Ovis aries: one gene and its partners. The protein of the gene in region 7 interacts with the protein of the main gene of each other region in a biochemical or structural test. Links are inferred from orthologs where the notes say so. Each region holds a gene or a part of one and is shown on either strand. Other genes may lie near its edges. The genes, in order: AHR, JUN, LIN9, CCND2, PRDM2, CCNA1 and RB1.

Evidence for each region.
Region 1: the proteins of RB1 (region 7) and AHR form a complex in vitro, tested with the Homo sapiens proteins (2 studies listed by BioGRID). The link is inferred for Ovis aries from reciprocal best matches to the Homo sapiens genes RB1 and AHR.
Region 2: the proteins of RB1 (region 7) and JUN form a complex in vitro, tested with the Homo sapiens proteins (2 studies listed by BioGRID). The link is inferred for Ovis aries from reciprocal best matches to the Homo sapiens genes RB1 and JUN.
Region 3: the proteins of RB1 (region 7) and LIN9 form a complex in vitro, tested with the Homo sapiens proteins (2 studies listed by BioGRID). The link is inferred for Ovis aries from reciprocal best matches to the Homo sapiens genes RB1 and LIN9.
Region 4: of the proteins of RB1 (region 7) and CCND2, one has a biochemical effect on the other in vitro, tested with the Homo sapiens proteins (4 studies listed by BioGRID). The link is inferred for Ovis aries from reciprocal best matches to the Homo sapiens genes RB1 and CCND2.
Region 5: the proteins of RB1 (region 7) and PRDM2 form a complex in vitro, tested with the Homo sapiens proteins (2 studies listed by BioGRID, with this or other methods). The link is inferred for Ovis aries from reciprocal best matches to the Homo sapiens genes RB1 and PRDM2.
Region 6: the proteins of RB1 (region 7) and CCNA1 form a complex in vitro, tested with the Homo sapiens proteins (2 studies listed by BioGRID, with this or other methods). The link is inferred for Ovis aries from reciprocal best matches to the Homo sapiens genes RB1 and CCNA1.

Annotation. Positions count from the first base shown.
Region 1 is NC_056057.1:26,779,504-26,783,509, forward strand, and holds the start of AHR (aryl hydrocarbon receptor), read left to right. Parts: upstream 1-1,206; 5' UTR 1,207-1,818; coding exon 1,819-1,883; intron 1,884-4,006. UniProt on the Homo sapiens protein: Ligand-activated transcription factor that enables cells to adapt to changing conditions by sensing compounds from the environment, diet, microbiome and cellular metabolism, and which plays important roles in development, immunity and cancer.
Region 2 is NC_056054.1:33,493,864-33,498,145, forward strand, and holds JUN (transcription factor Jun), read right to left. Parts: upstream 2,801-4,282; 5' UTR 1,881-2,800; coding exon 873-1,880; 3' UTR 107-872; downstream 1-106. UniProt on the Homo sapiens protein: Transcription factor that recognizes and binds to the AP-1 consensus motif 5'-TGA[GC]TCA-3'.
Region 3 is NC_056065.1:28,526,715-28,530,549, reverse strand, and holds the end of LIN9 (protein lin-9 homolog), read left to right. Parts: intron 1-917; coding exon 918-1,097; intron 1,098-1,266; coding exon 1,267-1,364; intron 1,365-1,859; coding exon 1,860-1,965; 3' UTR 1,966-3,335; downstream 3,336-3,835. UniProt on the Homo sapiens protein: Acts as a tumor suppressor. Inhibits DNA synthesis. Its ability to inhibit oncogenic transformation is mediated through its association with RB1. Plays a role in the expression of genes required for the G1/S transition.
Region 4 is NC_056056.1:211,597,775-211,600,935, forward strand, and holds the end of CCND2 (G1/S-specific cyclin-D2), read right to left. Parts: exon of another isoform or gene 1,431-3,161; intron 651-1,430; coding exon 501-650; downstream 1-500. UniProt on the Homo sapiens protein: Regulatory component of the cyclin D2-CDK4 (DC) complex that phosphorylates and inhibits members of the retinoblastoma (RB) protein family including RB1 and regulates the cell-cycle during G(1)/S transition.
Region 5 is NC_056065.1:53,165,168-53,168,667, reverse strand, and holds part of PRDM2 (PR domain zinc finger protein 2), read left to right. Parts: intron 1-99; coding exon 100-217; intron 218-1,810; coding exon 1,811-1,914; intron 1,915-3,500. UniProt on the Homo sapiens protein: S-adenosyl-L-methionine-dependent histone methyltransferase that specifically methylates 'Lys-9' of histone H3. May function as a DNA-binding transcription factor.
Region 6 is NC_056063.1:25,417,567-25,421,730, reverse strand, and holds the start of CCNA1 (cyclin-A1), read left to right. Parts: upstream 1-1,364; 5' UTR 1,365-1,499; intron 1,500-2,027; exon of another isoform or gene 2,028-2,719; 5' UTR 2,720-2,743; coding exon 2,744-2,908; intron 2,909-4,164. UniProt on the Homo sapiens protein: May be involved in the control of the cell cycle at the G1/S (start) and G2/M (mitosis) transitions. May primarily function in the control of the germline meiotic cell cycle and additionally in the control of mitotic cell cycle in some somatic cells.
Region 7 is NC_056063.1:18,570,850-18,574,349, forward strand, and holds part of RB1 (retinoblastoma-associated protein), read left to right. Parts: intron 1-1,743; coding exon 1,744-1,886; intron 1,887-2,400; coding exon 2,401-2,450; intron 2,451-3,500. UniProt on the Homo sapiens protein: Tumor suppressor that is a key regulator of the G1/S transition of the cell cycle. The hypophosphorylated form binds transcription regulators of the E2F family, preventing transcription of E2F-responsive genes.

The DNA of each region.
Region 1 (4,006 bases), on a different chromosome or scaffold from region 7:
GATGTAAGTTGTAGAAGAGTTGAAGATATTTCATAGGGTTGATAGGATAATGGTTGAGTATATGACAGTGAGGTTTCAGCTAAAGAAAACAATGTTCAATTTATTGATGTTCTGAATGTGAGGTAACAAACTCACCGGATGGAAATGGCTTGATGACATTTTGAAATGTAGGAATGGACATGGTGCCAGATTTCATCTAGACTTCTTAGTCTGATTGCCCTTCTCCTGACAAGCAAAACACACTCCTGTGTTTACTTTTCTGGGTAAAGGCACAGGAGTAGTCAGAAATGTTGGAGGTACTTGAGATTGCTCTCTCTTGTTTGTCTATTTCCTTATTATCTGCTCTTTTTCCCCTCCATCCCACTGTCACTTCCCTGGACTTTCACCTGGACTACTTCAACAACTCTAACTACTCTCTCGGCATCCAGTCTTTTTCTCCTGTAATCCAGCTTGCACTGTCATTTAAAACTTCCAAAACACTAGAATGTCTCTTGCCTGCTGTGGATCATTCAAAGGTTTCCACTGACTGCAGAATAATATGTGGACTCTTGATCAGGCTTTATGATTTGACCCTAGATTCCTGGATTTCACTTCCAGCTTCTCTCTCTCCAGCTATACCAGACTGCTTATTCTCAAATGCCTCCTGCTGCCTGCCTTCCCACCTTCCTGAAATCTGACTGTAGTGTAACAGTTATTCTGCCTGGGGAAAAGATACTATACTGTCTTGTACGGAGACAAAAATCAAACTCAAAACAAAAAGACAAGAAAAATGCCTAGCCTTCAAGTTCAACTGAGATGTGGCCTCCTGAAGCCTTCTCCTCTAGGAAGATTTATAGTTCCACAGGTTATCTGCCAGCTCACTGTAATGCTTAGCCAAAAGTTGGCTGACTCACTGTCTCTTGCAAAGGTGAATTTAAGCTCACTACTTGGCATTTCTTTCCTTGAGGTTGTCTGATTACAAAGACTTTGGCTACACATAATTTGTCGTCACATGTCTTTATGGACTGGAAATGTGTCCACAGATTCCTCCCCTTGACCTCAAGAAGATGGCTACTGGAGAGGGTGGGGGTCATTACGCCTTACGTCATCACGTGCCGGGAGGGTGGGGCCCTCAAGGGAAATATAGCGGAGGGCGGGGCCAAGTAGGATGGGGCGGGGCTACGAGGGGCGGGGCGGGGCTGGAGAGGGGTCGGGGGCGCTTCTGCTATTCAGCCGGTGCAAGCAGCAGCGGGAGGCATCGCAGGGCGAGTCCACTTGACGCTAGGTTCTGAAAGCGTGACTGGGACCACCGGCTCAGACCAGAGGTAGCCGCATAGCCGAGCGGAAGCTGGTGGCACCCGTAGCAGCGGCCGGAGTCCGAGCTCCGCAGGCGGGAAGCACCCGGGATCGGGGAAATCCCGGGAGCAGCGCAGCGCGGCGGCGCCTCCCTCACCCAAGGGGCCGCAGCGACGGTCACGGGGCGCGCCGCCACAGCGAGCGACCCAGGCCGGGATTTCAAACAGACAGCCCAGGCTCCTCCTCCATTCGCGCCGCCTCACCTGCGGGCAGCGCGGCGCCGCCTCAGCTGGTACAGACGGCACCTGCGCCTCCAGCCTCCCCGGTCTCCGCCCCTCGCCCCTCGGCGCCAGGCCCGGGCCGCGCACCTGGACGTGCGGGGCTGCAGAAGCCCTGCGGCTCCTGGGGTGCTGTGTCTCCGCCATCGCCCCGGGAGGGCGCAGGTGGAGCAGCCGCGGTTAAGTGGAACCCCGTCCCAGTTGCCGCCGGGTCCCGGGGACAGGGCCGTCCGCGCCCGGGAGGAGCCGCAGCCAGCCAGGCACCATGAACAGCAGCAGCGCTAACATCACCTACGCCAGTCGTAAGCGGCGGAAGCCGGTGCAGAAAACGTGAGTCTCCGGAGCCTGTCCTCTGTGCTGTGGGGAGGTGGGCGCTCAGGCGCGGGACACTGCCGCACCCCGCCCCCAAATCCCCGAGGCCAGGGGATTAGGTCCCTTCCCTGTGCAGTCTGTGGAATCGAGATCTGGAGGCCGGTCGAGAACCCCAGGCCTTGGATTTTTCCGTGATTAATGATTGCATTTTAAAAATTGTGCCCCCCGTTCTCTGCCCCCCCCCCCGAACCCCTTCTCCAGAGCACCCTTTCACACCTCCAGCCATTTGCAGCGCTGTTCACTGTGCTGTGGTCCTAATTTGTTAACAGCTCTCCTCTGCCCTGTGGGGCTGGTGGATTAGTTAACCTAAGCCCGTCTTGAAATCCCCTTTCACATTTAATATCCTCCTCTGTTAGGTTAGAGGACGGTCACCATTCTTACTCCTGGTAGGGCGAGATGCTTTAAATAGCTAAACACGTGCTGTGTGCAAGAAAGGGGCTGAGTGCCTCTGAAGGTATTTTTTGGTTCCCTGAAACTGGCTTTCTGTTATACTCTTATTTACTTATTTGGCAGTAATTTTGTAGCGCTCAGCGTGAACATATCAATAAAATGTATAGAGGTGATAGCAGCTTTGAGTGAGTGTAGTAGCCAGGATACAGTAGAAGATTTGTATTTTAAGTCATCTTTTGGGGGAGATTTATCACTTTGGAAGTGGTTTTAGGGTCTGCAAATAATTTGGAGATGGAATTATTGAAACAGACATTTTCATTCTTAGCATCATTCTCTTAATTCCCTTTTCCCTCTACTTCAAAGTTTGGTCAATTCTGATAAAGTACAAACTTAGGTTTGTTTGTTTTGGTGGGATATTTATGTGATTATGGCAAATACTTTAATTTTTTTCAGAAAAAAAAAAGAAAAATCCATGCTTAACACAGATTTACTTTTTCGAGTTGGCAATGTTCATGTGTTTATTCCTAATTATTATCCTTGAGTTATTTTACTTCACATTTTTCAAACTTTCATAAACAATTTTAAGAACACTTTAAACGGTTACTCAGAACAAATCACAAGTGTGCATGTGGCTTAAGACTAAATTTAGGTCACTAATCCAAACCAGAAAAATAGCAGTTTAAAATTAATATTAAAGACCAGTTTAAAGGTTTCAGTATTCTGGGGTTTTAATTTCCTTTTAGAATTTCAGTGATTGCAGTCCTTCAGATTTAGACTTGGCATCAACAGAGGATATTCATCTATAAATAGACTGATTAAAATTTGGAAGACTTATCCTGCAGCGTGGTTGACATTAGGAATACTGTCAAGTCAGCAGTTTTTATCTTGGCAATTCTGTTGACATTGGTTTACAATACTTGTGTTTTATAGAATGGTTTCTTATAAAAAATGTGCTTGTCTAATTTGACTTGGTCCTTGATGGTTATTTAAAATTGAAAGGCATCACAGACACCTCTGTGTATTTTAGTTAATACAAAAGTACACTTGACATAATGTATAATATATATATGTATATCATAGGTTTTATTTGTATAGTTAGAAAACCTGAGAATTTTAAGTTATTGCATTTCAGGAAGTATGTTACACAGGACCTAGGTGACTTCAATGAAATGCTCTAATTTTTGTATTCATTTTAAAGTTTAACATTTGGGGCTTCTTGTTACCATTTTATTAAAGATTTTCCCTGTAAATATATTATTGCACATTTTCTTTTTTTTAAGGATGTACCTTTTATTATTAGCAATTAAATATGCTTTCTAAGACTTTAATATATTTGTGTTTAATATCTCCTGTAATACAACCAAAGTATTTCCACATTCACCCTTATTTTATCTAGTTAGCAGAGATGTTTATCAGATCTTTACTGAGCATCATGCATGGCTTCTAATCCTACAAACGCCTTAAAATGTCACTGCTCCATAAGAAAAGCCTAGTGCTGACATTTACAGAATCACGGGAAGTTGTTCATAAATTGTTTTTAACTGAATGAAAAATGATGAACTTAAAATGCAGTTAGAGTCCATTTTAAGAATGGAGCCATAAACCCAGTATTTTAATGTTTTTTAAGTTAAATTACTATAACTAATAGACACTCTAATATGTTGGTATATTGTCTGAAAAATTCATCTTGT
Region 2 (4,282 bases), on a different chromosome or scaffold from region 7:
CTGCTAGTAAGAAGCACCCACAGTGATTTTAATTGACACTCAACTCTTTCAACTCCACCTAGACAAGTAATCTATAGATAATGCAGAAAAGAGGTTGGGGGAGGGGTAACTTTTTCAATATTTTATTGTATTTTCTTAAATATCCTTTCTGGAATTTTCAGAAACAAAACATAAAAAAAATTATATACTTTATTACAAATGGTAAACTCAGAGTGCTCCAAATCTCTTATTTACAAACAAGGCTGGGCAGGACACCCAAACAAACAAACATGAATAACTTACAAAGGCATGAAGCTGTTTATTGACAGTAATCAGCTTTCATCAAATTAAAAAATATATATATGTACATACACAGTTATGGAAGGCAGGCCAGAAAGAGCTCATCTGCAGGCTGGGCCTCGCTCTCACAAACCTCCCTCCCGCCTCCCCTCCCCCACCCCCTTTGTGTTCTTAAGGAGTACTACAGAAGCGATCTACAGTCTCTATTGCAGTTTGCAACCCCCTCCCCCACCCCACCCCTTTAATACTGAATGAGATCGAATGTTAGGTCCATGCAGTTCTTGGTCAACGTTAAAGAAAAGTCTAACGTTCTGTTTGCGCGGGGACAGCCCGTCCGCAAACCCGGGCAGCCCGCGAGCGGCCGTTCCCTGGCTCCTCGCCAAGGGAGGGCGCGCCAAGTCCTTCCCACTCGTGCACACTGGGGGCGCCGTCAGGACGCAACCCAGTCCAACTTGGATACCCTTGGCTTTAGTCCTCGGACACTTTTGTTTTTTTCTCTGTTTCTCTCTCGCAACTTGTCAAGTTCTCAAATCTGTCTCTCTGTGTTATTTATATTTTTTCTCCGTTGCCCCTCAGCCCCCGACAGTCTCGCCTCAAAACGTTTGCAACTGCTGCGTTAGCATGAGTTGGCACCCGCTGTTAACGTGGTTCATGACTTTTTGTTTAAGCTGGGCCACCTGTTCCCTGAGCATATTGGCGGTGGACGCCAGCTCCGAGTTCTGCGCTTTCAAGGTTTTCACTTTTTCCTCCAGCCGCGCGATCCTCTCCAGCTTCCTTTTCCGGCACTTGGAAGCAGCGATGCGGTTCCTCATGCGCTTCCTCTCCGCCTTGATCCGCTCCTGGGACTCCATGTCGATGGGGGACAGGGGCGGCGTTTCCCCGGGCATCTCGGGCACCGTCTGCGGCTCTTCCTTCAGGGCCTGCAGCCGCGGGTGCTGCACGGGTATCTGCTGGGGCAGGTGGTGCGGCGGCTGCGGTGGTTGCTGCTGCTGCTGCTGGGGCTGCGCGGGAAAGGCCAGGCCAGCCGCGCCGTAGGAGGGCGCCCCGCCGCCGCTGCTCAGCGCGCCGGGGTTGAAGTTGCTGAGGTTGGCGTAGACCGGCGGCTCGCTGTGCAGGCTGGCGCTGAAGCCGCCGCTGCCGCTGCCGCCCGCCACCGAGGCCACCGCCGGGGCCACCAGGCCCGCCCCGCTGACCGGCTGCGCCGCCGACGTGACGCTGGGCAGCGTGTTCTGGCTGTGCAGTTCGGCCAGGGCGCGCACGAAGCCCTCGGCGAATCCCTCCTGCTCGTCCGTCACGTTCTTGGGGCACAGGAACTGGGTGGGGGTCGGCGTGGTGGTGATATGCCCGTTGCTGGACTGTATGATCAGGCGCTCCAGCTCGGGCGACGCCAGCTTGAGCAGCCCAACGTCGGGCGAGGTGAGGAGGTCGGAGTTCTTGGCCCGGAGGTGCGGCTTCAGGCTGCCCACCGGGTCGGCCAGATTCAGGGTCATGCTCTGCTTCAGAATCTTGGGGTTACTGTAGCCGTAGGCGCCGCTCTCAGACTGGAGGAACGAGGCGTTGAGGGCATCGTCGTAGAAGGTCGTTTCCATCTTTGCAGTCATAGAACAGTCCGTCACTTCGCGTGGGCTTAGTTTAAGCTGCGCGCAGAAGTTTCGGGGCCGCAACAGCGCGCTGGCAAGCGGGGGACACCCGCGCCTCCCCGGGCAGTGAGCAAGGAAAGTTTCTGGAAGAGCGCGCGCCCCCGCCGGCTGGCAGCCCCCGCCCCCGGCGCCCTCCTCACCAGCTCGGTCCGGGGGATCGCAGGGTTAAGACGCCGCCCGCGCTCTTACTTGTCCGCTCGCGCGCGCCGCCCGGCTTTGAAAAGTCGCGGTCACTCACGGAGCTCTCTCGAGCGCAGCGGTTCCTCAGAGCCCGCGGACGAACTCGCTTCCCGGTGATAGCAGGGAGCGCGGACCCCGCGTTTGCCTGCCGGCGGCGGGTGTCCGCCGCCCCGACTCGGAAGACTGTCCCCTCCTCCGCTGAGAGGGGGAGGGGGCGCCCGGCAGCCGCGGCTCGCGCTCGCCCAAGTTCAGCAACCGGTGCGAGCGAAGCGGAGCGCACGTCCTCCTCTCTCCGCCGCCTCTTTTTCTTCACCGCCGCCGCGGCAGCTTCGGGCGGAGGCAAGATTTGCAAAAGTTCGTTCCGGGACCCGGCGGCCACTTGTCTCCTGTCTTCCTGGCCGGGAAAGTTCTTGCCGCTGCAGCCGCTCTCCGGACTTCCCCGGGCGGACAGTGGCCGCTCTCCGCGCTGTCAGCAGCGCCCGCGCAGCGGGGCTCTCCGCCTGGGGGCGGCTGGCGAAGGGGCTCTCCCGGCGCTCCCCAAAACACCAGGCCGGGAGCCACAAGCGCTAGCTCCGGGCAGTTGGAGAGAAATTGGAAAATAGGATTTGCTGTCCTTCTCGACTGACTGTGCCTGTCTGCCTGCCTGCGTCCGCGCACCTCCACTCCCGCCTCGCAGCTTCAGCCACACTCAGTGCAACTCTGAGCCCTTATCCAGCCGGAGCGCAACACTTATCTGCTACCAGTCAACCCCTAAAAATAGCCCATGATGTCACCCCAAGGCCTTCCCATTGGCTCGCGTCGCTCTCAGGGGGGCGGGCCCACCCGTCGCCATGGAGACCCCACCCTAGAAGATTCTTCTCTGGGCCCGCGGAGGCTCACGGGATGAGGTAATGCTCCGTTGCCCTCCTACAGTTGGGCCCTTCTTTCTCCTCCTCCCCCCAACCCGCTCCGCGCGACTCGCGCCCCTCTCTTCCCCCTCCCTCCCCGACGCGTCTTTCCCGGCCCGCCCGGTGCATTGTGGGCTGACGTCTTGGGGTTTGACTGTCTAGTGACGGTGGCTGCCGCGAGCCGGGCGGACTCCGGCGCTCCCAGCCTCTGAGGGAAGTGGGCTGAAGTTTAGGGCTCGGATGGGAATGCCAGGGATGCTAGGACCCAGGAGGCCAGGGGAACCGAGCCAGGTGTCTGGGGCCGAGGGCGCGGGGCGGGTGGTATTTCCCCACTTGGGGGTTCGATGTCACCCGCGGGCACTTCGCCGCCGCTCGGGGCGGGCCGGGCCCGTTGAGCGCCTGGGTTCCTGGCCCCCCCGCACTTCCGGGGGGCGGGAGCACCGCCCTTAAGGTGGCTCTGTTAAGTCCCCTGTGGGGGCGAGTGAAAGTGGCTTTTAAATTTGGGGGCAGTTCGTGAGAGTCGGCCCCCCACGTTGAGAATGCCCTGAAGTTTGTCTCCTGGTCAAGTTCAGTAGCGACTGTCTGGCTCTGTCTGGAAGTCCAGTGATTTGCATTGCTTGAAACTGGGTGTTCGGCTAAGTCCCCTCCGCACTCCCACCTCACCCTCCCGACCGTGGGAGAAAGGGTGCGGGGGTTCGCATCTTTGCCTCGGAAAGGTTTCTTACAGGAGGTGGATTTAAGGGGCAACTCGGCGTCTAGTTTGAACGAGCGTTTGGAGAATCCGAAACTCGGGGAACCCCGGTGATAGTCTACTCTCCGCCCCCGCACAACATGCATAGACACACCGCACATCACATGTACACACAAACACACACACACGCACACGCCACTCCTCCCGCCCCGATTTGCTTCCGGGAAAACAAGTCCGAGAGCAGCAGACACTTGCCAAAAGTCACGCAGCGAGTGAGTAGAATAAAGATTTAAAATTTCTCCGCTCCCGGCTGGGGGGTGGGCCCATATCCTGTGTAGCCTCTAGGAAGCGCTAGACCCATGTAAGTGGTTCCTTTTCAGTGGTGGTTATTCTTCTCCTCCCCCAACCCCGCGCCCCTTAGGGACGAAAGTGTACGGTGGAAAGAATACCGAAGTCTGGAGTCGTGGGTTCTCTCCTGGCCAACGCTGCCGCAATGTGAAGGGAGCGAATCAGAGAACTTCCCTGAGTTTCTTCATCTGCAAGTGGGGCTGGTGAGACCCACCTCATAGGCCTGGCTTAGTGTAGAGTCATTGTCTCCAGGGCTA
Region 3 (3,835 bases), on a different chromosome or scaffold from region 7:
AGAAGTAACCTAAATGCCCATACATAGGGAATTGGCTGAATAACTTATGGCGCATCCCATAGTGGAGCGGGGTGCTGCTATAAGAATGATCAAGGAAGCTCTCTGTGCTAATGTAGGCACATAGCTTCCTTAACCGAGTGATCAAAGATAACATAAATAGCAGTGGGACAGATAAACATCATACGCCTCCTAGTCACAATGAACTGAGAACAGCAACATCACTTTTGTGGTGTTCCCGCCAAAGGCCTGTTACCTTAGTTTAATCAAGAGGAAACAGACAAACCCACATTGAGGGATATTATGCAAAATATTTGGCTGATATTCTTCAAAGCTATCAAGGTTATGAAAGACTGAGGAACTGTTCCAGAGTAAAGGAATCTAGAGAGACAGGACAACCAGATGTATTCAGGGGGAAAAGTAGCTAGGTATTGGGACAGTTGATGAAATCTGAATATAGACTGTTAGAAAATGGTATTATGTCTGTGCTAAACTTCCTGATTGTGATCAGATCATTGCTGTGTGGTTATTAAGTATTTAGGAGTAAAGAGGCACAGTGTTTGCAACTTATTCTCAAATAGTTAAGAGAAAAAAAATCTATATACAAAGAAAGGTCAAATGTTAACTCAAACACAGTAAAACATAAGCAATTAGTGAATCTGGGTAAAAGGTTATCAAGAAATTTTTGTTCTGTTCTTTTTTTAGAAGTACCTAAAAATTAAAAGGTACCCAAAATATAAAACAAATCAAAAAATAAATACTGTTAGAGGGAAAAAAAATTTCTAAAGTAAGAGTGAGATTGTTTTTGTTATACAAATGCTACTTTTATAAAAATCCTAATCTGAAAACAGGGCACAAACACACAGAAATCATCATGGCCTTATGAATGTATATCTTATGTTTTAATCGTCTGTATTCAGCTTGCTCCAGACCAAGGGCTCCAGCCTGCAGATCAGCCAACAGACATGAGACGAAGGTGTGAGGAAGAAGCACAGGAAATAGTTCGGCATGCAAATTCCTCAACAGGACAGCCCTGTGTTGAAAATGAAAATCTGACAGACTTAATCTCCAGGCTTACAGCTATTTTATTACAAATTAAGGTAAATTTCAGAGGACCTTTTGGAGAAAATATTAAGAATACTTTCTTCATTTTGACACCTAAACAAACTGCTAATTTGGTGCTAAAAAATTAAACTATATATTAGAGCAGAGTTTTTGTCTGTATTCGAAGTACAATTAAATTTTGAAAAAAAATTTTTTTTTCTTTAGTGTCTAGCAGAAGGAGGAGACTTGAATTCCTTTGAATTTAAATCACTTACAGATTCACTAAATGATATCAAGAGTACAATAGATGCTTCTAATATCAGGTAATTCATTAGATGTACTCTATTTTTATATGAAATTCATAGTGATTTCCAGTATAAGTACTGTAAGAATTATACATATTTATGAACTAGTCATGATTTTTATCCTTTAAGTAAATTGTAAATGAGCTTTCATTTTATATGCAGTCTATTGACAGAATTTTCAGATGGATTTTTTTATATAAAGGAATCAAAAGACATATAATATTTAGGTTTGGGTTTGGCATAGAGGTTTAACTTTGAAGTAAGTCTTCCCCAAAGAGAGATTTGCCTATCCTCTCTTTCCAGCACTCCCGTGGCTTCTTCGCTTCTCTCAAGCATAGCTTCTCAGTTACTACTGGAGTAGAATTATGGCTAATGTAAAGGGAAGATGTATTACTTATGTGGGGTTGTTATCTTAGCTATTTCCTAACTGAAATTCAGCCTTTTCTTTTTAGAAAAACTGTTTTTCTTAATTTTGTGAGATAAAGTAGTTAACCATGTTTCTTCTTTCTTTAGTTGCTTTCAGAATAATGTAGAAATTCATGTTGCACATATTCAGAGCGGCCTGAGCCAGATGGGAAACTTACATGCCTTTGCAGCAAATAACACCAACAGAGACTGAATAGAAGATTTAAGTATCCCAACTGCATAGGACATTGTTTTTGTGAAGTTCTCTTCCTTTATATAGGCTTCCAACACCAAATAACCTATCTGCTGGAAAACAAGGAAAATTTAAATCTCCAAATAAGGCATTTTAATATACTCTACTGCTTCTTGAACCAGCATTGCTGACCAGCATTATATTTATTTTTCTTTTATTACTCAGCTGCAGTAGCACTGCTTATGTTATATATGTTTATTAGCAAGTATTTTTAAACTGAAAATGTCTGAACATAACCTAATTTCATGGAAGAATATGTTGACCATTTTTTTAATGTGCATGAATTCAGCTCAACCCAGGCAGACAACTACTGCAGTGGAGAACATGAGGAAACATGGTCTTTTGCGCATTGTGCATGGCAGTGTGGAAACTCCATCTAGAAAATCACACCTCCAGTTCATTTAGTCGGTCACCACTTCAGTCTTCAAAAGATGACATCATGAGATGTGGGAAGTCCTCACTTTTAGGAAGCCACTGGAATATAGGTGGGAAATACGGACTTTACAAGTATATATGATATATACTTGCAATGTGACATGGTTCTATAGATCATTTTATAATAATAAATATTTTAATTTATCATAATTTATAAAAGAAACCTTTGTTGTTTGTCTGTTGAAAGAAAATGAAGGAGCAGGAAAGAAACATTACTGCAAGATGCTAAATTTCAGCAAATGGATTTGGCATGTCTTTTCCCATCAATTCAGGGCAAAAAGTGCTATTGTTATGGGATTTATTTTCAAAAGACTGATAACACACTATTTTCATATTTTTTTGTTTATTTGCACAATTTTTGAACCAGATTACTGGTTAAAATCCAACAGTTACACAATTTTTAAAGTAAAAAAATTTTATAAGGAAAACAAATATAACAGCCAGTGCTAGAAAATGGAGAAAAAAGGTTTGTATTTGGTTGTGGGCTTTTTTGGTTTTCGGTTTTTTAAGGAAACCCCTGCCTAAGATGTTAATCTTGTAAAAAGTGTGTATTTGGAATTTTCTCTGTTTTAATATAGAATATTATAAAGTCAAAATATAAATTGTTTTCAGATTTGGAGTTTAAGATATAGCTGTAGAAGTGGCTTTGATTCTTTTAGATGTCTCATAAAATGAGACTTTTTATATGTTAATGTATAATAAAACTGAAGATTATTTTCCATTTGAAATTTTTGTATAGTTTAAAAATGCTTCCATATTCTTTGTTGGTATTGTGCCACTGCAGAACTTTAGTGCAGAGTTTATATTTAGCTAAACTGTTACGTTTAATTAAGAAATGTATAAATCTTTTATTCTTAATATTTGTAATTCTAAATAAATTGATTTATGAAAATTAATGATCTTCATTTTCATTTAATTAATATAAGTTGATAAATATTTCTTCTATTTAAAATGTTTTTAAAATTATCTTTTCCACTAAACTATATTTTTAGGAGGGACAGTACAAATTTATTACTAAATCATTTTGAATTAAAATACCATTAGGATTTTTTTTTTCCCCATGGCTAAGTAATCACTGTGGAAAACACTGTGAGCATGTAAGTAACTTGGCTTACTATAGACCTAGAGAAAGGTTGATTTTTAATATATTCTGCCTAGACTCAGGTAAGCATTTTTTATATTTTTTCTTCTGCATTTAAGGCTGACTTGTCACACTTAAATTATACCTAGTTTTGTGCTTATGTAATTAAGCATCATCTGTATCTTTCAGTGCCATCATGTGTTGATGACAAGAACTGTGCCTAAGAATATATTTGAATTTTATTTTTAAGGAAGAAGAAATCTATGTAATTCAAAGTAGACATTTAGGATTGGCTGTGCATTAATTTAAATAATG
Region 4 (3,161 bases), on a different chromosome or scaffold from region 7:
TTGTCACTCCCTCCCCATCCTGTCCCTCCTTGATTCCTAATTCCTTCTCAAGTTCATTGCTTCACAATCCAATCCTGCCATACGTGGCATCCGCAGTTCTTCCAAATTATCCAACAGGGGTATATACGTGCTAGTTCATAACATGAAAAAAAAGAGTCTCTAATTTGTTCCCATAGTGCAGGCGTACATTTTTCTCTAGCTACTCTGCAGGTTTTCCTGTAAGCATATTACTATGACTTTTAACATCATCAAACAGTAACTTGGCATATATAAGGGATTCCCTTCTGTTGTACTTCAAATAGGCACCAAATGCTTGTAATGATTTTGTTTTTATAGGACCTTTATCTCTCACTTCTAAAAGATCTTTCAATAGGATCTAGGTGGGGGCAGAATTTTTTTTTTTTTAAGTTTCATCCTAAAATGTAAGAGAACCAAATACAACCAGAGAGAAGGAGAGAGCGGATTGGACGCACCCCTCCCATTGGGCCCGCCCCACATCCTCACAGGTCGATATCCCGAACATCCGTAGGGGTGCTGGCTTGGTCCAGCTCATCCTCCGACTTGGATCCGTCGCCCTGGTCCTGACGGTACTGCTGCAGGCTGTTCAGCAGCACCACCTCAATCTGCTCCTGGCAGGCTTTGAGGCAATCCTAGAAGAGAGAAGCATCGAGACCAGGGCCGTTAGCAAGGGCACCGGGACACAGCAATCAACAGAGAGCACGCACGATTCCAGCCCGCCTGACTCCACACGCCAGCAGGTGGTGGTGGTGTAGTCACCAGGTCATTTCCGCCTCTCGCGACCCCCTGGACTCCAGCCCGCCAGGCCCCTCTGTCCATGGGATCTCCCAGGCAAGAATCCTGGAGTGGGCTGCCATGTCCTTCTCTGCTTCCAGTAGAAAGAAAGTCAACATGGAAGGAGGTGCGTCTTCCTGGTGGCCGGGGAACCACTCCAAGCGGGGTCCACAGGCCAGCAGCATCTGCAGCATCCGCACCACCTGGAAGCTAGCTAGAAATGCGATTCTCAGCCCTCTCCGAACCAGCTGCATCTCAGGATGTGCATTTCATCAGAAGCCCGGGCAGCGCTGGCCAAGGCGAGGGGCCATTTGCGGCCATGCAGCACCTGGTAACTCAAGGGCCAGCGGGATGCTTCCTGCTTGGGGCCACTGCATGGTGAGTGTGAAAAGGGGAAGGTGAGCCCTCCAGACAGTGTGACAGAACTAGACGACCTGAAGGGCAGATATAAGCGAAAGGACTAAACTACACTGAGCCTCCCAGCCACTGCAACCGTACTCAGAAACAAGCAGATTCGCCTCTCCACTTGTTTACCATTTCTTTAACTCTCATAAAAAACACAACACAGAGTGTTTACAACGTTCTGGACACTTAAGCCGTCTAATTTGGGAGAAAGCAAAAAGAAAAAACTGCAGCACTGCTTTGAGATCAGTCTATATTTGGTAGGGAAGATTCAGGGTGTGTCAGCCCCACGCAGAAGCTCCTCTAAACTGGGCGACATTGACGCAGCAGGAATTCATGGGCGTCGTCAGGGTGGGACGGTGGCTGGCACTAGCAACCGGGGCGAGAGCTGAAGTAACTGCTCACAGCAGATACTGGGTAGGCCAAAGGTTCGTTCAGCTTTTCCTGTAAAATGTTGTGGAAAAATCTGAATGGACTTTTTGGCCAACTCAGCATCTCCCGACCTCTCTACTCATCAAGACTGGTTTCCTGGCACTCTCGTAAACGTATGGAAACTATGTGAACTCCACTCTGCCTGGGTCTTTTCAGAGTTTCATGTATGTTCCCCTTGTGTTTGCTCCACCACGCAATTTTCACTGCCCAGAGGTTGCAGTCTGCCAAGCACACAAGCATTATCTCTATTTTCCAAAGATCTAAAATAAAGTTGGAACTCCCAGGAAAGTTTCCATGCCCCCACATTTTCCTTTTGTATCTCTCGGCCACCGTACACTGTTAAACCACAGCTTTTTAGGAAAATTAACATCTGGACCGAGCGCTGAGAGCAGATACGAAATACCACTCAGAATGAGTGAAGAGGGACAGAGGGAGGTGGTATCTGCTGTCCCCACGACCAGACCTGTGGGCACCACTGAGTTATTCTCCTTCTCTGTCCTTGGTTTCCCCATTTGTAATGTAAGACTCAGGAGACGCTCACAGAGGGAGGATCAGTTGAGATGTCCAAATGAAGCTCTAATCGTTCATCACAAAGTGGAAGTCTTGGAATCTGAACAAATTCCTGAGGTTTCTCTGAAATGAGGTACGAGTGAGCATTTGCTCAAGACAGGTGAGGGGCACAGAGGAACGCGCACCAGGGATGGAGCGTCCAGCAGGGATGCAGACTCTTTGCGAACCCACGGACTGCAGCACGCCAGGCTTCCCCGTCCTTCGCCATCTCCTGGAGTTTGCTCAAAGTCATGTCCATTGAGGTGGTGATGCCAACCAACCATCGCATCCTCTGTTGCCCCTTCCTCCTCCTGCCCTCAGTCTTTCCCAGCATCAGGGTCTTTTCCAATGAGTTCACTCTTTGCATCAGGTTAACAAGGCAAAAACTGACAACAGTCAACACTGCTCTGGCTGGTCCCCTACGAAGCTCTCCACCAACCCTGTCGACTTTCCTTCCTCCAAGACTCTGTTTCTGTGTCAACACAACTGCTACCCAACAATACGATGAACCCAGGATGCCATGACCATTTCTGCATTAGCCACACCAGCGGCTGAGATGGGTGGTCCTCTGAACATGGGGATGGGGCTCCAGAGAGCTAAGCAGCTTGATAGGGGGTCATGGACAGTCTCCCTGCAGGTCACCCAGGTGCCTGATCTTCCTGGTATTCAGGCTTCCCTCCCAGCAGCCTGAGACCCTAAAAGGAAAGTTCTGAGAAAGTCCTTCGGGGCGGGCTGGTACACCGGGCAGTCACTTCTACAGGACTTCAAGATAACACAGGCATCGAACATCACAAGTACATTAACTTGCAGCCCCAAACCTTCAAGCTTTCCTGAATAAAATGAAGAAAGATATCACACAAAACACAGACTCTCCTTCCTTCAGTCAATGTAAATCATTTTTGACAGTGACCAGCTCTTCCTCTTTGATACTTCTTGCTTCGAGAGAAAAGGAAGGACCGTAGCAGTTGCTGCAGAAATGAGGATGG
Region 5 (3,500 bases), on a different chromosome or scaffold from region 7:
TACATTTTTGCATATTTGTTTATTGGACCAGAAAAAAAAGTCAAAACAGAACTGGGTTTTCTTCTTTTTGGTATTATCCTTCTGTTTCTTAACTTGCAGAACGCAGCTGAGCCTGTGGCAACCACGGAGACCCTGGCCGAGGTACCTGAACATGTGCTTCGAGGACTTCCGGAGGAAGTGAGGCTTTTCCCATCTGCTGTTGACAAAACTCGGATTGGTGAGTGCTAGGGTCAGGGGAGGAGAGGGCAGGGAGAGCGGGCTGTGGCCAGGCTTCCTCTGGGGGCTTCTCAGGTGGGGAGCTCACTCCAAAAGCAACACATATATACTCTTGGCTTGTTTTGAAGAGTTTGTTTTCTAGTTAAGAATCCAGGGTGGACAGGAACACCTTCGCACACACCCACCCTCCTTCGTGACTCAGCCTGAGCGGCCCCTTCCTTTGAGTCTCCCCAGGGCTCTTCTTCCCGCAGAATATATTGCTTCTGCCTCTGATTTCACTGTAATTTGAGTGTGATGATGGTATTATATTTATTTCATTATTTTGTATTTGTTTTCATATCCATCACTTGCATTGATTGTGAGTGCCTTCATTTCTTATTTATCTTTATGCCTCCAGTAACTGATGCTCTTCATGGGCCTCAGTGGGTATTTGAATGATGAGCATGTCCCAATGCTTCTTCCTAGAATTTCTTGTTGAATATAGCCAAACTTTTTTGTATTGAGTCTTGTTTTTGTGTTCTAATCTTTAGATAGAAGGCTAAGGAAATAAGTTACAAAAGTTAGAGTACAGTCTTAGAAGAAATCATGTTTATGTCCTGTTTTCTTTTTTTAAAGGTGTTCTTCTGATATTCTGATATATATGTGTGTGAATAAATTTTTAATAAATGCTTTTCCTAATTCTTGCTGAGAATTATTCAGTGAGTAATTTGTTCATGAAAGTGGTTGATTTTATCTCTCCACTAATTAGTTATTAGCTGGGATATCAAATGGGATTCATAGCAGATTTACAGGTGGTGGAATTAGTTCATCATGGCTGAGCCAGTGGCTGAGACCACAGCCTTCATCTGTACATGAGGAAACTGAGCCCAGAAGGCAAGGGAGCATGTTCAGAGCAGTGCTGTCAGTAAGAGCTGCTGTGGCACTGGGTCCATCGACACGGGTGTCTCCTGCTGTTTTACCCGCTGCTTCTGCATCTTGTTTGCCTTATGGTCACTGGGAAGACTATAGAAATACCCCTGAGAATACCACAAAGCAGCATACGTCTTGGTTGGTTTAAACTCTGAAGACTGAGTTGTTTAAGCTTTCAGGAAACAGAGCAGAGAGCAAAGAAACTTCAAAAACATTTACTACAGGACACTATGTTTCTAACCATTTAAGGGTGTTTTTTCTTTCTTTTTTTTTTTTTCTTTTTTTGACAACTTGAAATCTGTAGAAAAGGAGAAAGAGGAACTTTGCATTTTTACTGCATTCGATATTTTTTTTCTCTTAATTGTTGTGATTATCTCTTCTCCAAGTGTTTGTGATTATGCTCTCTGGGTAATTTTACATGTAAAGATTAAAAATAAAACCATAAGATAATCTTTCCTACTTATAAAACAATATAGATTCTTTACAGGCTATTAGAAGAATACAGAAGACTGTTGAGAAGAAAAATAAAAATCCCCTTTGAATACTTGATTTAGTTTGATTTTCTGTGATCTCAGTTAACATTGTCTTGCTTTTAGGGTGACTAGTCTTTTCAGTAACTGAATTGCTGTTAGTGCTTTAGTCTTTAACCACAATGCATTGTGAAACTGTTGGTTTTATTTTCTAGGTGTCTGGGCCACTAAACCAATTTTAAAAGGCAAAAAGTTTGGGCCATTTGTCGGTGACAAGAAAAAAAGATCTCAGGTTAAGAATAATGTATACATGTGGGAGGTAAGAAATGCTCCTTGTCCTTTGCTTATCAGAGTTCAGTACATTTTTAAAGGATTTGAAAGGATTTATTTTAAAGGATTTATCTTCTCAGGATTTGACCTTCTGAAATTAATCAGTCAACTTAACATGTTCTTTAAAATAAAGAATATTTTTAATAGAAAATGTGTTTCCTTGGATACAGATTGCTGTTCACATTTGTAGTTTGAAAGTGCTTTGCTGTCTTCAACAATAAATGTCAAATTGGCGTCTTATTTGCCTTGTTCAGGTTGCTTTGCTTTGCTTTGCAGCTGAGAGTTTGGTCTGCCACTTATAGGCTTGCAGACGAACGCCAGTAAAAGACACACCAAGGTGGCCGCTAATATCAATAAAGTACAGTTAGGATCTTTTCTGTCATTTAGAAAGTAATCTCTGTGTTGCTGAAACATTCAGAGTTGGACATACTTAGCACACTGTGTATATAGTTGTTGTTGTTTAGTCCCTAAGTAGTGTCCAGCTCTTTTGCTTCCTCATGGACTGTAGCCCACCAGGCTTCTCTGTCCATGGGATTTCCCAGGTGAGAATACTGGAATGGGTTGACATTTCCTTCTCCAGGGAGTTTGCCTGACCCAGGGATTGGACCTGTGTCTCCGGCACTGGCAGGCGATTCTTCACTACTGAGCCACCTGAGAAGCCGTGTTTGTGTAGTGCTTTGACTTTTTAGAAAGGCTTTCATTCTGTTTGTTTCACATTCTCTCAATGATCCTGGAAGATGGGGAGCGGTCACACACTCCTTATGCAGGGAAGCGGTGTAGACCAGAGGGAGAGGCTCCCTTTGTGGGCACACGTGTGGAGGGTGTTGTCAGAGCAGAACCACGTGTCCATGTGTCCTGCTGCCTGACAGTAGGCAGTTAGAAATGCTTCATTGGTTTGGTGGCGCTGGTGTAGTCACTAAATTGTGTCCGACTCTTGCGACCTCATGGATCTGCCAGGCTCCTCTGTCTGTGAAATTTCCCAGGCAAGAATACTGGAATGGGTTGCCGTTTCCTTCTCCAGGGTATCTTCCCCATTCAGGGGTCGAACTCGGTTGGATCGAACCTAGGTTGGCTGTGTTGCAGTCCGTCTCCTGCATTACAGCTGGATTCTTTGACCGACTGAGCCAGGGTTCAAATCCTGCCTTTGTGACCTGGGTAGGGCCCTTAACCTTTGGGCCCTAAAACCCTCCATTTAAAAATGGGGAGAATAAAAAATAATCTCATGAAGAAAGCTGTGAAGATAAAATATCTTATTATTGTTTCTTAAAGAGTTGCCTATGAATTAAGCATTTCTATTAAATCTAATTCAGGTCAGCAGCCTCCGTGAAACTCCTCAGGTTCTTGTGGAACTCAATGGCATGACTCCCAGCCAGAGAAGTTTTTTTGGTGGTGAGGAAAAGCATTCCTGTCAGATTGTCTTAGGTGGAAATCACATCTGTTTAACATGTAAACATATAAAAGCCTAAAAATAAAATTTGCCTGGGAAATGTCTGGGGAGTTTCAGTCAAGAAGTTCTGTGGTGTCTGTCCGTCTGTGGTATGTTGCTCTTTTTCTCAGTGCTGTGAACAGTGTTTC
Region 6 (4,164 bases), about 6.8 Mb from region 7:
TCCAACTCTTTTCGACTCCAGGGACTATAGTCCACCAGGCTCCTCTGTCCATGGAATTCTCCAGGCAAGAATACTGGAGTGGGTAGCCATTCACTTCTCCAGGGGATCTTCCCAACCCAGGGCTCAAACTGGGTCTCCAGCATTACAGGAAGATTCTCTACCGTTTGAGCCTCTAGCTCCTGCCAAAGTAACCCTGGCTCTTGGAAAGACCTGCTCCTGAGTCCCTAACAGAGTCCACCCCTGACGCCTTTAGAGTCTCCAGAAGTCACAATAGTGTGGTCAGATGATGGAAGCCTCCCCAGAAGACTTCCAAAAGCAGCACCAGATGAGAAGGGGGCAGAAAGGCTCTTTTCCTCACCAGATAGCAGCACCTTGCAAAACCAAGCATTTGGGGCCTACCTACATATGTTGCCACAATTTGAGTTGTTACCAGAGCTGCTGTGTTGCCTTCATATCCGAAGGCATAGGAATTCCAGGGTGCAAAGGGATCGCTGCTTCCCAATGAATGAAAGTGGGTAATAAATGTGTAGAAGTTAGTTTCACATTAAAATCCATTTCTATTTTCCTTGGGCATCCAGGAGTGATTTGCAAGATGCCTCCTAACTGCCTCTTAACACCTGATTCAATCGCTTTCATCCTCATTTCCTGTAGAATACTTCAATTTTCCCATTAAAGTAATGCATACACATCGCTGAGTGAGCCCATTAATAAAGAATACTTAAGAAAAAACTGGGAGAGGTGTAAGATTAGCAATTATTTTCATTCAAAACAAGGAAGAAGGAAATAACGAGTTCTTAAAAAACGACCATTTGAATGGTTTCCATTATCTGTTTTATGGATGGGAACTTAGAGATGGGAATATTTAAAAATTAAAAACAGACAAAAGCAGTAACGTGTGTGTGTGTGCACAACAACATTTTCAAAAAAATAATAAAGGTAAAGATTCTTATACTTGGCTCTCTAGTTACCTCTGCAAGTTCCAGGGCTCCCTAGTTTCCAAGGACCCCCCCCCCCTTCCCTTCCTGCGTGGCCAAGGCCCCTTCTCCCTACCCTCACCTCTTACCCCCAAATTAGGCCCCCTGCTTCCACCCTACCCTGCCGCGGACCCCGGATCCAAGGATTTCCTTCCCACGTGACCAGGCCACCTGCCCAGTCCCTGGTTCCCAGCCTCCCCGCTATCCCCTCTCAACGTCCCAGACCCCGTCGCTGCCACTCGCGTTCCTTCCTCTTCCTGGGCCAGCTTCACGCTGGGGCTGCCGGAACCGTCGAGGAAGGTCTCTCTCCTGGGGACCTAGAGCACCACGTGCGACCCTAAAACCCCAGGTCTCCTCTCCCGCCCTGTCGGGTTACATGCACCGGAACCCAGGTCGGCCAGGCGTGGCCTCCGGTGCGCAAGGACCCAAAATGACCGAGAACACGCCGCCACCACGGACTGAGGCCGCGACTCCAACCAGAGGCCCGCTCGCTGCCACTTGGCTTTTCTCTGGGAGTAGGCTTAGGTGTGTGAGCTGGGGGAAAGGGGAGTGAGCCGCGCTGTCTGCCCGGCGCGGTCAAGGCGCCGCGGCCTCAGCAGCCCCGAGGGCCCCGCGTCGCCCTCCCGGGCCAAGGTTCTCAGGAGCGGGCCGCGGAAAAGACGTTAGCGGGAGGAGTTAGCGGCTGTTGGGGAACCGGTTCAAGTAAAAACAGTCCCTTCCAAACCCCGGCCATCGCGGGGCGGGCCTGCTTCTTCCCTTACAGATATCGGCCACAGTGGGGGCGTGGGCCGCGGCCACCGCGGCCGCCCGCCCAGACACGCCCGGGCAGGGCCGCTTAGGAGGGGCTCAGGGCCGCCGCCGGTTGGCCCCACCCAGCCCTGAACGCCCAAGGGTCGCGGTGCGTCCTCGGGTGCTGAGGTAGCCATAGAGATGAGGCCGCAGAGCGCGCACGCCCCCCTGCGGTTGGCATGGAAACGGCCCCCGCGAGGCCCGGGAGCTGCGCTGATTGGCCGATTCAACAGACGCGGGGGCCGGCGAGGGGCGGGGGGAGTTGAAAGTAATTAGCTCTGAGCTGGGCAGCAGACGCTGGGAGCCCAGCGCCCCGGCTAGAATCTATTAACACCTCCGTCCCCTTCCGCCCCGCCCCGCCCCGGCCCCGCCCCCTTCATTGGACCCTTATTCCCAATCCTCGTGTGCATTTGCTAATTGTTCGAGACTTATGTGTAAAGAGATAAGACTGAGAAGAGCGAGGTCCGCTGTGGGTTCCAAGCAGATTTTGGGGCCTTCTGTCTTGTGGGAGGAAGGCCGCGGAAGAGCACTCTGCTTGTCACTTGAGAAGGGGACGTACTTTCCCACAGTGATGTATCCTGGGTCACTGGTTTGCAGGGAAGGGGGTGGTGGAGTAATGGATAAGCATCACAGCCAGGAAAGACACGGGCTTGTAGGTTTGAACTCCCCACTAATGTGGGGGTTAGTGTCTTGGCTTGGAGGTTTGTCATATTCTTCTCTTCTTCCAGCCATCAGCCAGGTATTGGAAGAAAGGCTGGAGAGATTCAAATCATCGTTTTGGTTTAAAGCGGCTTTGATCACTTGCACTGTGGCTCAGGCCCTTTCAACCCTAATAACAGCAAGGAAGATCATGTGTCACAGGGCTGTGTCTTCTAGAGAGTCTCAGCATCCTTGGATCCTTATCCTTCGTGGAAGAGGCTGACTAACTGGCTTGTCTGTTTCTCCTTCCTTGACAGCAGTAAGCTGTGGAGACTGAGGCTATGCATCTCAGCAGCTCCAAGAGTGGAGTAGTGCTGGCTCCAGTGTCCCGAGGTCCTGATGCCTGTCAGATGATAACCAGAGGCCAGTTCGGCCAGGATCCGCCACAAAGAACAGTACTAGGAGTGCTAACTGAGAATGGGCAGTACAGGAGGACCTGTGGCCAGGTAATGCCTGGGAAGAGCTGGGAAGGCCCCCGTGTCTTGGTGGGAAGTGGGATCTCTTGAGATTTTCTGCACAAACTCCCCTTGAGTATTCAGCCCTGGAATCTGGCCTATAGGGGCACTGATTTTTTAAAAGAGCACTTTGTAAGGTCCCTTTTTCAGCTAGCAATATTAAATAATTTTCTTTGTTATTAGGAACTGTTTAAGTCAAATATGTGTAAAGTCACTTAAAAGAAAGTGAAAGTGAAGTCACTCAGTCGTTTCCAACTCTTTGTGACCCTGTGGACTGTAGCCTACCAGGCTTCTCCACCCATGGGATTCTCCAGGCAAGAATACTGGAGTGGGTTGCCATTTGCTTCTCCAGGGGATCTTCCCGACCCAGGGATTGAACCTGGGTCTCCTGCATTGCAGGCAGACGCTTCACCCTCAGCCACCAGGGAAGCACTTAAGTTCCGGGCTAAAAGGACATTGTGAATGCACCAAAATAAACTATTGTTGTTCAGTTGCGAAGGTGTGTCCAGCTCTTTGCGACCCCATGGACTGTAGCCTGCCAAGCTTCTTTACCCATGGAATTTCCCAGGCAAGAATACTGGAGTGGGTTGTGATTTCTTTCTCCAAAATTAACTTGTGGTACTGGTGTTTCTCTAGATCAGAATGGTATTCAGATTGACCTAGGCTGTGCCCTGAAGCATCTCCGATAACCTTTAAGTTCATTGGTGATGGTATTAGAATCAGGATTGGATCCCAGCATACTAGATTACTTACAAATGTGTGCTTTGAAAGTCAGCTTCTCCCCAGGACTGATAATGGACAGTTGGGCAGAAGATCATGGGCCATCTAATGTCCGGTTGCTTGTGCTTAATTAATCATAGGCACCTCCCTTAACAGAATGTAAACAGAGGGTAAATAAATTCAACACTTAAAATGCAAATAAGGAGTTTGGATCCTTAAGAATGAATTTTGAGATTAAAAAAACAACAACAACAAAACTTCCTCAAGTCTGTCATCACACCAGCTTCTCATAAGCTTGTACTGCATATCTATTGGCGGTAGTATAGTGGAGTAGGTGGGCAGGTATCCTTTCCATTGTACAGGTGAGAAAATTTGAGAGGTTTGAGAAAGCCTTCCCACCCAAATAAAAGTCATGATGGAGGCCAGATCAGAAGCTTCTCATCTACTGACTACTCCTACTCCTCTTCTACACAATGACACAAGTCATTTGTGTCTTGGTGGCATCTGGTTAGTGGGAGAAAATTACC
Region 7 (3,500 bases):
ATTTTAGTGTCTGCCTACGCACTGCCCCTCCAATGAAATAACTAGAGAAAGATACGTGTTGTATACTAAAAGACCAAATGTTAACATGTGTGTTACAAATAGTAAATGTGATGACATTTAGCTCAACACAGGCTACAGCTGTCAGGCTTCACAGAGGTGATGTAGACCACATAAATAGGATTGGATCCAGATTAAGTATAGAGTGAAAGAAAGAAAGTCAAGTTGCTCAGTTGTGTCCGGCTCTTTGCGACCCCGTGGACTGTAGCCTACCACACTCCTCCGTCCATGGGATTTTCCAGGCAAGAGTACTGGAGCGGGTTGCCATTTCCTTCTCCAGGGGATCTTCGTGACCCAGGACTCGAACCCGGGTCTCCCGCATTGTAGGCAGATGCTTTACCATCTGAGTCACCAGGGAAGTCAGATATAGAGTAGTGGTCTTCAAACTGTTTTGCTTGTGATAAACTCTGAAAGAGTTGAAAGAAGGTTATACATACTTCCATATTTTAAAGCTCATAACTGGAAATCCATTTAATAGGTGTACAGAATTTCATTTCTATCATATTATACATGTGCTCTAAATATATTTTCCATCAAAATCTGGTTTTGCATTTAATTTTTGGAAACTTAGTTCATTTAATTTTTGGTAAATTAGCTAATGAAAGTTAATTATGCAAAGCTAATCCTCAGTGTCAAATCAGTCAAATCAGATTTAACTTCTATTGGAAAGTCTGATTTCATTCTAGAATCCAAAAAAACATGTTAATACACATCATGGAGATAATCACCTCACTCTGGTTCTAAAATAGATAAGACACAGTTTTTCCATGTGTTTGTCCTTTGGATAAAATGAGGTATTGTGCCCTCTTTAGCATTTTTAACCAAAGTTTTCTTAACTGTGAAAGGATTCTTCCTCAGGAGATATATAAATCAAATTATCTCTAATAGTACTTGGAAGGACTCAAATACTTTGAGTTTTTCAGATATTTAATATTTTATTTTAAACCTTTAAGAGTTAGGAATATCAACAAATACTATAAATCAATGATGATTTCAAATTGATAAGCTGTATGACTTATCAGCATGATATTCATAAAGTGAGTCCAAAGTTATTCTTCGCTAGACACCTCGTATTGAATTCTTGTAACATTTGCTCCAGTTATGCTGTGCTTTAAAAAAAAAAAAACAAAACAAGGTTCCAGAAAGCTCTTCCAGCTTTGCATGCTTCTGAGAAATAGCCCTGGTTTTGTGCTTGAGTAAATTCTGAAAATGAGGAACCAGGACTTTTGGAGTAGTAGTCAGAGTTGTTGGGAAGACACAGGAGGGTATGAGAAGAGCAGGTATTTACTGGGGCAGAGTTAGATGTGAAGTGAAGTGAAGTCACTCAGTCGTGTCTGACTCTTTGTGACCCCTTGGACTGTAGCCCACCAGGCTCCTCAGTCCATGGGATTTTCCAGGTAGGAATACTGAAGTGGGTTGCCATTTCCTTCTCCAGGAGATCTTCCCGACCCAGGGATTGAACCGAGGTCTCCTGCATTGTAGGCAGACACTTTACCATCTGAGCCACCAGGGAAGTTGGGTGTAGTTAGTCTGATTTTAACATTTTTCATATCTCCTGTTTGGTCCAAAGAAGCAGGAAGTTAAACGCAGGTATTACCTCTGCCTGATTTTTGACCCACCACAAACCTACAGTTCGGGGTTGCTAACTACAAAATGATCTAAAATAAAGAATTCCATAATTTGTAGACTTCAGAGAAGTTCCAGAAAATAAATCAAATGGTGTGTAACAGCGACCGTGTGCTCAAAAGAAGTGCTGAAGGAAGCAACCCTCCTAAACCACTGAAAAAACTGCGCTTTGACATCGAAGGATCCGACGAAGCAGATGGAAGGTAGGGACGGTGTTAGCACGTGTGTCAGGAGCTGAGCTGGTCGTCGGGAGAAACCCAGAGTGGCCGCTCTGGTCTTGGCTCCTGCCAGTCTCTCTCGTGCCAGTAATATTTTGGAAACTGTGAGGCTTGCTCAAAATAGAAGATGTGACTGCATCCCACAGTTAAAAAAGCACCACGTAAATCTACTGAAATTCATTAAAAATATCAGATGTTTACAAATCTAATCAGCCTTTACAGTGCCATGGATAGAATTTTGTTAGTTTTGATTAACATTAGATTTTAAAATGCTCACTCTTGAAAAACGCTACCCTGTTTTATAAGAACCACTGATAAAATATCTAGGCTCATAAATTTATGACATTTGTATTTTAGATGTTTGATTTATAATCCTTTGACAATAAAAGCTATTTACTAAAGAGCATAAATAGTCATTGAAAATGCCATCGTTTTTGGAAATTTCAGTTTTTCATTTATACATATACATATGAAATATTTTGAATTTTTAAATCTGCAGTAAACATCTCCCAGGGGAATCCAAATTTCAACAGAAACTGGCAGAAATGAGTAAGTACTTATTTGAGTAAGTAAGTAAATGAACAATTGTTTACATTGCAGAAAGCCTTTTCATTATAAAAGGATAAATTTATAGAATCCCTTTAATTAACAGACTTTTATGCATTTAAAATATAATTCACTCAACAATATGTTATTTACAAGTATCTGTGGATTAAATGTATGATGCAAAGTGCAGGTCATCTTCATCCATCCCAGCATCTACTGTGCAGCAGGAAGACTGAGAAGTGAAACCACATCTTCATTACGGATGGCTGTGGCTAGAAAATATTTTAGGATAGCAGAACTATAATGAGGAACTCTCTGAGTGCTGGATATAGGGACGATGTTAGAAACTTAGCATATATAAATATCATCACCCTTACGTAAAGAATAATCTTTTATTCTGCTATTACTGAACTTTCCTAATTTGCAAGTTTTAGAACTGGATTTCAAATAACAGTTTTCCATTACTAGAAATCAGAATTTTGATAAAGAATACTAAATCATTTCCAAGTTAGATGTTAGTTCAGTTCAGTCACTCAGTCGTGTCTGACTCTTGTGTGACCCCATGGACTGCAGCATGCCAGGCTTCCCTGTCCATCACCAACTCCCGAAGCTTGCTCAAACTCATGTCCATCAAGTCAGTGATGCCATCCAACCATCTCATCCTCTGTCATCCCCTTCTCCTCCCATGTTCAGTCTTTCCCAGCATCAGGGTCTTTTCCATGTCTTTACATCAGGTGGCCAAAGTATTGCAGTTTCAGCTTCAGCATCCGTCCTTCCAGTGAATATTCAGGACTGATTTCCTTTAGGATGGACTAGTTGGATCTCCTTGCAGTCCAAGGGACTCTCAAGAGTCTTCTCCAACATCACAGTTCAAAAGCATCAATTCTTTGGCGCTCAGCTTTCTTTATAGTCCAACTCTCACATACATACATGACTACTGGAAAAACCATAGCTTTGACTAGACAGACCTTTGTTGGCAAAGTAATGTCTCTGCTTTTTAATATGCTGTCTAGGTTTGTCATAACTTTTCTTCCAAGGAGTAAGCGTATTTTA